2 linked regions of the Ovis aries genome follow. The protein of the gene in region 1 interacts with the protein of each later gene in a biochemical or structural test. Links are inferred from orthologs where the notes say so. Each region holds a gene or a part of one and is shown in the gene's direction. Other genes may lie near its edges.

The links.
Region 2: the proteins of NHERF2 (region 1) and PODXL form a complex in vitro, tested with the Homo sapiens proteins (3 studies listed by BioGRID and IntAct, with this or other methods). The link is inferred for Ovis aries from reciprocal best matches to the Homo sapiens genes NHERF2 and PODXL.

What each region holds. Positions count from the first base shown.
Region 1 is NC_056077.1:2,104,711-2,110,038, forward strand, and holds part of NHERF2 (Na(+)/H(+) exchange regulatory cofactor NHE-RF2), read left to right. Parts: exon of another isoform or gene 1-43; coding exon of another isoform or gene 44-124; intron 125-2,417; coding exon 2,418-2,597; intron 2,598-4,003; coding exon 4,004-4,157; intron 4,158-4,235; coding exon 4,236-4,279; intron 4,280-4,629; coding exon 4,630-4,692; intron 4,693-4,925; coding exon 4,926-5,084; 3' UTR 5,085-5,328.
Region 2 is NC_056057.1:96,947,623-96,953,488, reverse strand, and holds the start of PODXL (podocalyxin), read left to right. Parts: upstream 1-1,875; coding exon 1,876-1,893; intron 1,894-2,094; coding exon 2,095-2,752; intron 2,753-5,866. UniProt on the Homo sapiens protein: Involved in the regulation of both adhesion and cell morphology and cancer progression. Functions as an anti-adhesive molecule that maintains an open filtration pathway between neighboring foot processes in the podocyte by charge repulsion.

The sequences.
Region 1 (5,328 bases):
ACTCCAGCTGGACGCCCTGCCCGACGCTTCTGTCCCAACTCCCATGGCCCGCTCTGGGAATGCCGTGCCATCCGCCCCGGCCCCGGGAGCCCCTCCACAGAGCCCGTCTCGGGGGCTTGTGCAGGTCAGGCGGGTTGGGGGCGGGGTGGGCAGTGAGGTCAACAGCACCCAGCTTAAGTCTCTGGCACCCAGGCTTGGCAGAGGGGACCCTGGGCACCCTGGTGTGAGCAGGCTGGACCCTGAGCAACAATGGGGGCCTTTCTCTGCCCGGGCTGGTGAGTCACCATATGGGGGGGTGTAGAGCCTGGCTCCAAGAGTTACCCCCATGCCAGCCTCTTGGACTGGTCACAGGCAGGGCTGGGAGTCAAGCGCTTGTCCAGCTCAGGGGCAGTCTGTTTGGAACTGGGGCTTGGAAGCCCCTGGAAGCCCAAGGGCCCAGCTGGGAGGCTGCAGGAAGAGCTCTGAGCCAGGCTGGAGAGAGGAATGCGAGCAATGCGCTGGGCCAGCCTGCACCCCCTCCCAGCCTGCTGCGCTGGGCCTCTCCCGGGGCCTCCCTCTGGGTGCCCAGGCCACTGGCCTCACTCTTCGGCCACTGCAGCCCCCCAGCCCGAGGGTCCAGTGCCAAGTCTGGTGCTCCTTGGACCCTGATCCTAATGCGAGGGATGTGGGCCAAATGTTAGTGGCGGGAGATGGCTGTCCTGGGTCTAGCCAGGGAGATGGCCAGTGTGGTCTCGAACCGGAAGTGACTGCATTCAGTCTGGCCTCATGGCCCCGGATGCCCCCTAGTCCTGCTTCCTGTTTGGGGGCCTTGAAAGACCTCGGCCTGGAACCATTGTGGAGGGCGTGGGAAGAGCCTCAGGGGAGGGCTGTCTCTCACACCACAGGTCACCGCAGGGGTCTGTGGAGCCTGTTTGCACGCCTGTGTTTGGATGTCTGGTCTCTGTGACTGTGTGAGGTGCCTCGGCCATCTGGGCCCGCGTCCACCTACCAGGTGTGGTCATGTCACACGTCCAGGGTCCCACACGGCCCTGGCCAGCCTCGGAACCTGTGGTCTGACAGCCCCAGCCTGAGAGTTGCCTCAGAGCCACACACCTGTGCTTGCAGCTGTGTTTGGAGAGGGCCCAGTCTGTGGGGTCCTGGAGAACCTGGGTGTCTGCCCAGCCGATCCCCTGGAGGATGGAGGAGCAGAAGCCCCAGCCCCTGGAATTTCTGGGGCAGATGGTGGCCTGCAGCAGGGGTTCCTGGGGGGCTTTGGAGATCAGGGACTCTTTGGGGATCAGGAACGGGCCCCTGGAGGAGGGGCCCAGGCTGGACTGGAAGGTGTTCCCCACCGGTAGGAAGGCCCACATGCTGGGGCAAGGTACCATCCTGTAAGGAAGGGCACTCTTGGTTCCACGGCAGGGTGGCCACAGTCAGATTTGGGGGATTTGGGGTGAGCTTGGAGGCTTGGAGGCTGGCTCTCCCAAGTGTGGCCCCCCACCTGGCCCAGTGTCCCCGGCCACACACAGGGAGGTGGAAGGCCAGGCCCCGGTGAGCACCCCCGCCCCTGCACGCACATTTGAGCCCTAAGCGCTGGGGAAACCTGAGCTGCTGGCCGCCTGCTCCCTCCGGCCACCGCCATGTTAGACTGAGCGTCGCGGCCGCTGGCCACTCAGCGCTGGTCATTGCCTTAGGCCCCGGTGGGGTCCTGGGGTCTGGCCCCTGCCTGCACGGCTCCCTGCACCCCCTGGCCCATAGCCCTACTGCAGGATGCCAGAGGTAAACGGAGGCAGGGCCCTTGGGTGTGGGTGGGCACCCTCAGGGCACCAGGAGCCCCCGGGGTCAGAGGGGCAGGTGGGAGGCAGGCCCCTCTGCTTGCTCACTGGGCTCCAGCGTGTGGGGATGGGGGCTGCTCCAGCTGCTCTGGAATGTGAAGGCAAACACAGCTGCAGCTGCTGCCACCAGCCCCAGGGAGACCTGTGGGAGTGTAAACAAAGCTGGAGCCCTACCCCAGCAGACCCACACTCGGAGTAAACAACAGGCGGGGCTGCCCTCCTGGAACAGAGACACGGGGCAGCTCACCTCGCCTGCTCCCTCCTCGGCTCGGGTCTGCGCCCAGCCCTATCCTCGACCCAGTGGATTCTCCCAATCCCACTGTAAGGCCTTTGATCGCATCACAGGCCCACTGGGGGTTTGGAAACCAAGCCTTTGTCCAAGATCCCAAAGTTGGATCATCGTAGGTGGCCTAAGCACCCCCACACCCCAGGACGGGTCTCTGAGACGAGGGGCTACCATCAGGTGGGGGTATGAGGCCAAGCGCTGCCTTGGCACCCAGCGGGGTGTGGGGTGGGTGTGGGCTGGAGGCCTCGGGCGTCAGCATCTCTCAGATGGGAGGAGGTCAGAGCTGGAACCTCACCAGGTGTCCCCGACGCCTGCAGGATGCCAACGGGCCTCTGAGGGAGCTGCGCCCAAGGCTCTGCCACCTACGGAAGGGCCCCCAGGGCTACGGGTTTAACCTGCACAGCGACAAGTCCCGGCCCGGACAGTACATCCGCTCAGTGGACCCCGGCTCCCCTGCTGCCCACTCTGGTCTCCGTGCCCAGGACCGACTCATAGAGGTACCTGCCACTGGGGCTGCGGGGAGCGGGCTGCCCTGTGTGTACCTGTGTCCTGCTGTGCGTGCCTCTGTGTGTCTGTGCCTGTGTGTGTGTGTACGCCTACGTGTCTGCCTATCCGTGTCCGTGTGTATATGTGTCTGTGCCTGCGTGCTGTGTCCATGTGTATCTATCTCTGTGTGTGTGTCTGCCCTTGCATGCCTGGTGTGTCCGTGTCTATGTGTGTGTGTGCATGTGCCTCTGTGTGCCTGTGTGTGTCCTTGTGTATCTGCACCTGCGTGACGGTAGGTGTGTCCGTGTATATCTGTGTCTGCACCTATGTGCCTGTAGGTGTGTCCGTGTCTATCTGTGTGTGTGCATGCATGTCTGTGCACTTGTATGTGTCCCTGTGTATCTGTCTGCACCTGCGTGCCTGTAGGTGTGTTCCTGTGTTATCTGTCTGCACCTGCATGCCTTAGGTGTGTCCGTGTGTGTGCATGTGCGCCTGTGCACCTGTGTCCATGTGTATCTGTGTGTTTGCACCTGTGTGCCTGTAGGTGTGTCCATGTGTATCTATCTATGTGTGTGCGCCTGCAGGCCTGTGTGTCTGTGTGTACTTATCTGTGTGTGTGCACCTGCATGCCTGTAGGTATGTCTGTGTCTGTGCGCCTGTGTCTGTGTGTATCTGTGTGTGTGTCTGCACCTGCATGCCTGTAGGTGTGTCCATATGTGTGTGCGCGCACCTGTGCATGTTCGAGTGTATCTATGTCTGCAACTGCATGACTGTAGGTGTGTCCGTGTCTATCTATCTGTGCGTGTGCATCTGTGCACCTATATGTGTCTGTGTGTATCTGTGTGTCTGCACCTGCGTGCCTGTAGGTGTGTCCGTTTATCTGTGTGTGTCTGTGCGCCTGTATGTGTGTGTATCTCTGTGTGTCTGCACCTGTGTGCCTGTAGGTGTGTCTGTTTATGTGTGTGTCTGTGCGCCTGTATGTGTGTATCTGTGTGTCTGCACCTGCGTGCCTGTAGGTGTGTCCATGTGTCCGTGTGTATCTGTGTGTGTCTGCACCTGCGTGCCTGTAGGTGTGTCCGTATGTGTGTCCGCGTGTATCTGTGTGTGTCTGCACCTGCGTGCCTGTAGGTGTGTCCGTGTGTGCGCGTGCCTGTGCACCTGTATGTGTCCGCGTGTATCTGTGTGTGTGTCTGCACCTGCGTGCCTGTAGGTGTGTCTGTGTGCATCTATCCACGTCTGTGTGCCTGGGCCCCAGGTCCTCTGCAGGAGGAAGATTCCGGGAACCTGAGCTGGTGCTCTTCTTGGTGCTGCAGCTGGTGACGGCACTGATGAATATTTGATGCCACACCTGTCCGGGTGGCTTGGGGGGCTGGTGGGGACCAGTCCCCAGGCAGCACTGACCCTGTGCTGGTGGCAGGTGAACGGGCAGAATGTGGAGGGGCTGCGCCATGCAGAGGTGGTGGCCAGCATCAAGGCGCGGGAGGACGAGGCCCAGCTGCTGGTGGTGGACCCCGAGACGGATGAACACTTCAAGCGGCTGCGGGTCACACCCACCGAGGAGCATGTGGAAGGTGAGCGGCTGCTTTGGGGCCCAGGGCTGGGGTGAAGCATCGGGGACCCGAGTGGTCAGTTACATACTGTCCCCACAGGTCCACTGCCATCGCCGGTCACCAACGGGACCAGCTCGGCCCAGGTGAGAGGGTGGGAGCAGACAGGGTGGGCTCGGGGACCTCAGGGGCACTTCTGGGAGCCCCTCCTGAGACCTCAGTCCTGGTGTCACATGGTTGTGACACTGAGCCCGGCCCTGTCACTCCCAGCTTTAAGGCCCCTTGGGTCCTGTCCGGGCCCAGCCGCACTCCACCCCACAGGGCACTCGGGCACCGCCAGCTTGCAGTCAAGGCTCAGTGCCACTGCCAGATGCAGGAGTAAATGCAGCTCTGGGGTGTGCACGTGTGTGCACACACTTGTGTCCATGTGTGCACATACGTGTGCACAGTCTCCTGGGTGGGCCCCTGAAGCCACACCTTACCCTTGGTTTCCCAGCTCAATGGTGGCTCCGTGTGCTCGTCCCGAAGTGACCTGCCCGGCTTAGACAAGGACACTGAGGTAGTGGGTGCCCCTCCACCTCCAGTGCTGCTGCTCACATGCTGGGGGGCCTGAGGCCTTGGGGGCGGGCATCTGTGGAGCTGTCAGCCTGAGCCGTGAGGCCGCCGCCTCTAGGAAGCCTTCCTGGGCCTGCTGCCAGGTGGCCTCTGGCGCCAGCTCCCTGGGGAGGGCCACCTGCCTGGGGGCTGGGGTCCAGGGCTCACTGGCCACCTGCCCACCGTGTCCACCCCTAGGATGGCAGCACGTGGAAGCGAGACCCTTTTCAGGAGAGCGGCCTTCACCTGAGCCCCACAGCAGCTGAGGCCAAGGAGAAGGCGAGAGCCACCAGGGTCAACAAGCGGGCACCACAGATGGACTGGAACCGGAAGCGCGAGATCTTCAGCAACTTCTGAGCCCCCTGCCTGCTCCCCACCGGCTCTTCCCCACGGGCCTGGGCCTTGCCCTTCGGACTGCCCAGAGCTCCCCACGCCCCGGTGGACTGGAGGGGGCATCCTTACCCCTAAGCTGGGGTGGTCCCACCACCACCCGCAGGGTGTTAGGGGAGTGTGGCCACAAGATGGGCAGAGGGAGCCCCCGAGATGTGAGAGACCCAGAGAGACAGTGAGGGGCAGGGGGGGGAAAGGGGGGGGGGCAAGG
Region 2 (5,866 bases), on another chromosome or scaffold:
GTGCCCCCTGCCCCACTATCACAACCAGAGAAAAGCCTTCACAGCAACGAAGACCTAGCATGGTCCAAAATATAAATAAATAAATAAATAATTTTTTTTTTTTAAGTCCTTTGAGTTTTGATTTTCAGAGCCAGTAAACTAGTTGGTGGAAGGGCTATGTTAAAGGGGCCAGGTGCCTGGAGCAGTTCTGCTCACTGACCACGGGTGATGTCTCTGCCTGGCCAGCCTCCTTCCTGGAAACCCCATCTGCATAAGGTGAGGGGAGGACCCGCTGCTGCTGGCTACTGGGAACGGTCCAGGGCGTTTCTGATTTTGCCAAGTCTCTGGATACAAAGAGCTGTCGCTTTCATATGCGGGAGATGTCTGCTCTCATTTTAATTTTGCATGGTAATAGGACCAATCCCACCTCATGTGGATTTGAAGTATACACTCTCCCTTTGTACTAGAGTTAACATGCTCTTTTCTAGATTTTTGGAGCCACGGATTGAGTGCAAAATTACTGTTTAAATCAGAGAGCACACAATACACACATTTTAAAATCCCAGCTCTTTAAGCACACTGCTTGGTTTCAGAAAGAGAAACGCACACACTCTGTCTTTCCCACATGCGGCATGGAAAATGGGGCCAGAATGATCCTGCAGAAACTTCCTGAAGAAAACAGGCAGGTCAGCCATTCCCAAGCCCAGCCTGCTGCTGCAAAAAACCCTAGCCAGAGTGTCCCCGCTTCCTTCTCTGCTCCAAAGATGCCGCGCCTTTAGGGCAGCGTATGCGTGTAGCCCCCTCGAGGGGCTCGAGGAGTCCACTGGGCTGGGTCCTGGCACGGGGCTGGGCTCTGGGGGAGGAGTCCACTGGGCTGGGTCCTGGCACGGGGCTGGGCTCTGGGGACACCCCTTCTTTCCCACCCCGGACCCATCTGGCAGAAAGACTCCATTTATCAACCCAGAAGTCGCTTGAACCAAATCCTAGCGCATCCCCACCCCCTGCCCCCCAGTGAATCATCTTTCCCCTTCTGGGTCTGCTTCCCCTCCCCCCACCCCAGCCCCGGAGCCACCCGTGAGCCTCCTCCGCAGGGGATTCCAGGATCTGCATCATTCAAGCAGCTTTTGAAAATAAAAACCACCTAGCCGAGAGGGAGGTCTTTGTTCTTTCACCGGGTTTACTCGGTTTATGGAATTCAATTCCCACCCCTACCCCAGGTCTGCAAATTTCTCCTTCCAGTGCTGGGAGCGGGGCCTCTTCATTCCCGCAGACTGTGTTCCTGGCCCTGTGCTAAGCATTTTATCTTAGATAAACTTCATAGCAACCATCTGGGCTAGGTAGTGTTATCCCTGTTTTACAGATGGAAAGAGCTGAGGTACACCGAATAACGTGCCCAGGGTTTTACAGCTAATAGATGGGCATAGCTAGGTTTTGAGCTCAAGTCGGTTTTAAATCGAAGCCCTAAATTTTCATTGTTGTTCTTGATAGAGCAAGAGTAAGAATAATAGTAATACTGAGCAATTACTATTTGCCAGGCACTGCGCAAAGTATTTTCTCCAAACTACTTTCAGAAGCGGTTCTGTGTTCTGTGATCTCCAGATCGCTGAAAAAGCCTCTTTTTCAGTCAATTCCATACCTACAAAACGAAGCTGAAAACATCGCTGTTGCGAAGAATAAATGACTTAATATGTGCAAAGCCCTTAGAACACCAAGTGGCACATATGATTAATCCTTCAATATTTCGTCTTCTTTTTTGTTTGGTTTTGGATTTCTTTTCACATCACCTCCATTCACAAGTGAGGTCGGTTTAGAAAAGCTGAGCAACTAGTCCGATTGCTGGGTGCAGACCCTATGGTGCAAACCCTATAGCGCAGACCTGCTCATAAATTGTGCGCGATGCGGGTCCGCCCGCAAGTGAGTTGCACCTGGCAGGTGAGAGACGCGCTCCTCAGGCTTTGCAACAAAATGCGCTGCAGCCGGGAGGCCTGGAGCGCTCGGTGGAGAACACACAGCCTTGGGGGCCTTCTAGCTCTGGATCTGGGCGGATAGGAACTCGGCAGTGGTGGTGGTGAGGGGGGGGGTCCCGCCAGACTCGCCTCATAAGTATCGCGGGAGACACCTGCGCTCCGGGGCGGGGGGGCCTCCGGGCAGGGGGCGGTCTGGTGCCGGGAATCACCCCAGCTGCCGAGCCTTCCGGCGCTCACGCTCACATCCCCTCCTCCCCTCCGCCCCGAGCCGGGGCCGCCCGCCAGGAGCCCGGAGCCCGGAGCCCGGAGCCCGGAGCCGGGAGCCGGGAGCCGGCCGCGCTCCCCCGCCCGCCGCGCGCCAGGGCGGAGTTTCCTTCTCGGCTCATTGTTCTCCGCCCAGCGCCGCCCCGCCCGCGCGCTCCTGGGGAAGGGAAGGGGAGGGGGCGGGGGCCGGCGCGGACGGGACCGGAGTCGCCGCAGCCGCCGGCCGGGCCGCAGCCGCGCAGACACCGCCTGCGACGCAGCCGCCTGCCGCTCCTCTGCCGCCTGGCTCGGCGCCTCGGCCGGCTCTGCCGCAGCGGCCGCGAGGAGGGGCCACCGGGGCGCGACTCGGGACGCTCGGGCCACCGCCCGGCCGTCGGAGCCACCGCCAGGCCTCCCGGAGAGGCGCCCGCACGCTCCCGCCGCCCGGACCCTTGGCCAAGCCCGCAGCCACCTGCTCCGCGCCCGCGCCCAGGACACGATGCGCGCCGCGCTGGTGCTCTTGGCGTTTTTGCTGCCGCTGCCGCTGCTGCTCTCCGGTAATGGTGAGTGATGGTGGCTCGGGCTCCGCCGGGACTCCCCTTGTGCCGGTGCGCCCCCGGCCGGGCCCGCTGCTGGGAAACCCGCCCTGCCTCGTGGCGGGACCCGGGAGCAGCCCCTGCGCTCACTACTACCCGGGGCCGCACGCGGAGCGCTGACCTTGCACCAGCCAGGCCCCTTCCCACCCCAGGAGAACGCCGCAGGTGCCGGGATCCGAGCGTGGGTCGTCCGGATCTCCACGTGGGTGGAATTGCGATGGGTTCTGTTCGGGCAAACGGGCGCTCCGGCGCTGAGTGGGCTCGCGGTCCTAGAGTCGGGACTTGGGGCACCGCGAGCCTCCACGCTTCCGCTGGACCCCCAGCGTCTAATCACTTTTTTCTCCGCGTTGGAGTGGTAAGGGACGGTATTGTGTCGTCGTTAATTCCAGGCAGAGCGGCAGGCTGGGAGCTTATGAGGAAGTCCCCGAAGCAGGTGACAAACCTCCAGTAACGGCCCTCGAGGCCATGTGTTTCGCGTTCTGCCGGGAGGTTTTTCCGAGCATCGTGTGCTCATTCAGCTCACTTGAACCTGTGCTGGGGCAGGTGGAAACGGGGAGGGAGTAAGAGGATTTTCCACAATCCCAGACTCACCTGAGTGGGGCGCCTGCCTCCAGGGCACCAAGGAAACAGCTCCCTTCTCTGTGCACGGCCAGGAAGGTGAGAGTCCCTCCCAGCCCTTCGTAGAGAAAAGAATTTCTCTCTCATGAAATGGGCTTGGACTGTGCCATAGAAACATCTCCCATATTTCTTCTAAAGGTGAAAATCTGGTGGGACAGGCACTGTCCCAGAGTCCCTAGGAACAGCTAGGACTCTCGGCCCCAGGAGAGAGAAGCATTTCTTTCTTGCCCACCTGAGCAGGTGTCTGCAGGGAGAAAGAGCCCTGTTTCCATTCTAGAGTCAGAGGGGCTGTCGTGATAGCCGAGACAGAGAGGGGACCTTGCTCTTCTTGGTAGGTGCTGCCTTTGGGACTAAAGTCTTAGGGGAAGGGCAGGGTAGCATGGCAGTGCAGTCTGTTTTCTTCGTCACAGGGGACTTTGCTTGTGGGAAGGGGCAGGTGCTCAAGGAGCAAGTAGGTTTGGGCATCCTCCAGGGAGCAGCCCTGAGACTCCACAGCCTGGCCTGAAAGGGGTGAGTAGGTGAGGAGGTGACGCCTGCAGGAGGGATTCCAGTGTGAGGAACACCGCAGATTTGCACACCCTGCAGGGCTGATAAGATGCAGGAGTGGGGTGTCTCTCCTCAGTCCTGCTCTCAGGCAGATGGACCTCAGTGTGGACGTGACGCACACCCTTTCTGCCAGGAGCCTCTTAGCACCATCCAGAAGGGAGATGGGCTGTGTCAGGAAGGCTGGGGTAGTTCCCAGTGCCTCTGAGCTTCAGGAGCTGAGCTTGAAGGAGAAGGTGGAGGCTGTGGGATGAGACCCCTGGTCCTCTGTCCTCAGGAGTTACTGGGTCTGGAGCCACCCATAAAATGCGAACAGCTCCAAGCCCCACTCCTTGCTGGCTTCGAGGCTGGGACTGTCTTCCTTGGCACTTGTGCACTGCCCAGAAACCCTGTCTCTTCCAAGAAGCCCTCCTCAAGCCTAGCATGGGGCATGGAGTATGGTAGGAGCTCTATCTGTGGTAAAGAAAAGAGGAACCATAACCCTGCTTCCTCTCTCACCAGCAAATTACCTGGACTTTCTGAGCCCAGTTGTCCGGTTCCTAAAATGCTACTGTGGTATGCAGTGATAATGGGAAGTGCTTTGAAGAGTGTTAGCTGGCAAGGGAATATCACTATTAATATTATTATTGCTATGTTGAGACCAGAGAAGGCTGAAGGGTGCAGGCTTGGTGTTTAGTGGCTGTGGCAGAGTTGGGAAGATCCCCTGGAGAAGAGAATGGCAACCCACTCCAGTATTCTTGCCTGGAGAATCCCCTGGACAGAGAGAGTAGCCTGAGGGGCTATAGTCCATGGGGTCACAAAGAGTTGGACGTGACTGAGCACGCCATAGGGACCCAGTAAGGACTGCTTCATCTCTGCTCTTCTGAAGGTATGGCTGGCTGAGTTGCAGTCATCTGGGAGGGTGAACCCCCAAACTGCTGGAATCCTGTGATTTAGTTCTAAGCAAGGTTTCAAGTAGGACAAACAAATTATATCCGACAGGGCCCTGGGATCTTACCTTCTATTGTAGGTGGGTCACACAGCATCAGCAGCATCCAACCCGGTGCCGACAACCCATTAGACCCCTTTCTGGTTTGATATCCACTTGGTTGAACCATACGGCAAATTGTACCTCTGAACCTGTTTCCGAATCTGTAAGACAGAATGAAAGAGCAGAGGAACAGCTAGTGTCACTGTGACATTTCTGGGCTTTTGCCGAAAGGACAGGCTGACTGAGCACTGTCTTAAGGGTCTGATTGTGTCATTCGATGGATGAACCTTAGGCAAGGGAAAGGCAGCTAGAGGTGGTTGAAAACACTCGAACTTTGGATCAGACAGACGTACATGACTGAAGACCAGATAGTGGAACCTCTTTGAGTCTGTAAAAAATGACAACAAATCTCCATCTTGCAGGTTGTTCTGAAAATGAGAGATAACATATTAATGAGTTTGCCATTGTGCCCAACTCACTGTCAGAACTCAAAAAATCCTGGCTTTTATGGCTAATAAACCATACGTGCTCTTCCCCCCCAGCATGAAGGTTCTGCTAATGTTTGTGTCAATTGCTAAGCAGAAATAAAAAACTGAAGCTTAAAGTGCCACGTGGTGGGGGAAAGGGTGGCATATGTGGAGAAGTGGCAGGATTTGGGAAGGGGTGATTTGGGCAAAGTGAGGGAGGGGTTATACAGGGCTTTTATTTTATTTTTTAATTAATTAATTATTTTTTTGGCCACCCCATGCAACATGCGGGACTTTAGTTCCCTGACATGGGATTAAACCAGTGCTCCCTGCATTGAGAGCACAGAGTCTTAACCACTGGACCACCAGGGAAGTCCTATACAGGGATTTTAAAATAGAAGGATCAGCGGGGGTGGGAGATCCTTCCTAGGGTGGCCTGAGGCAGAATGAATTGCAGGGTGTAGCGAAGACACGGATCAGAAG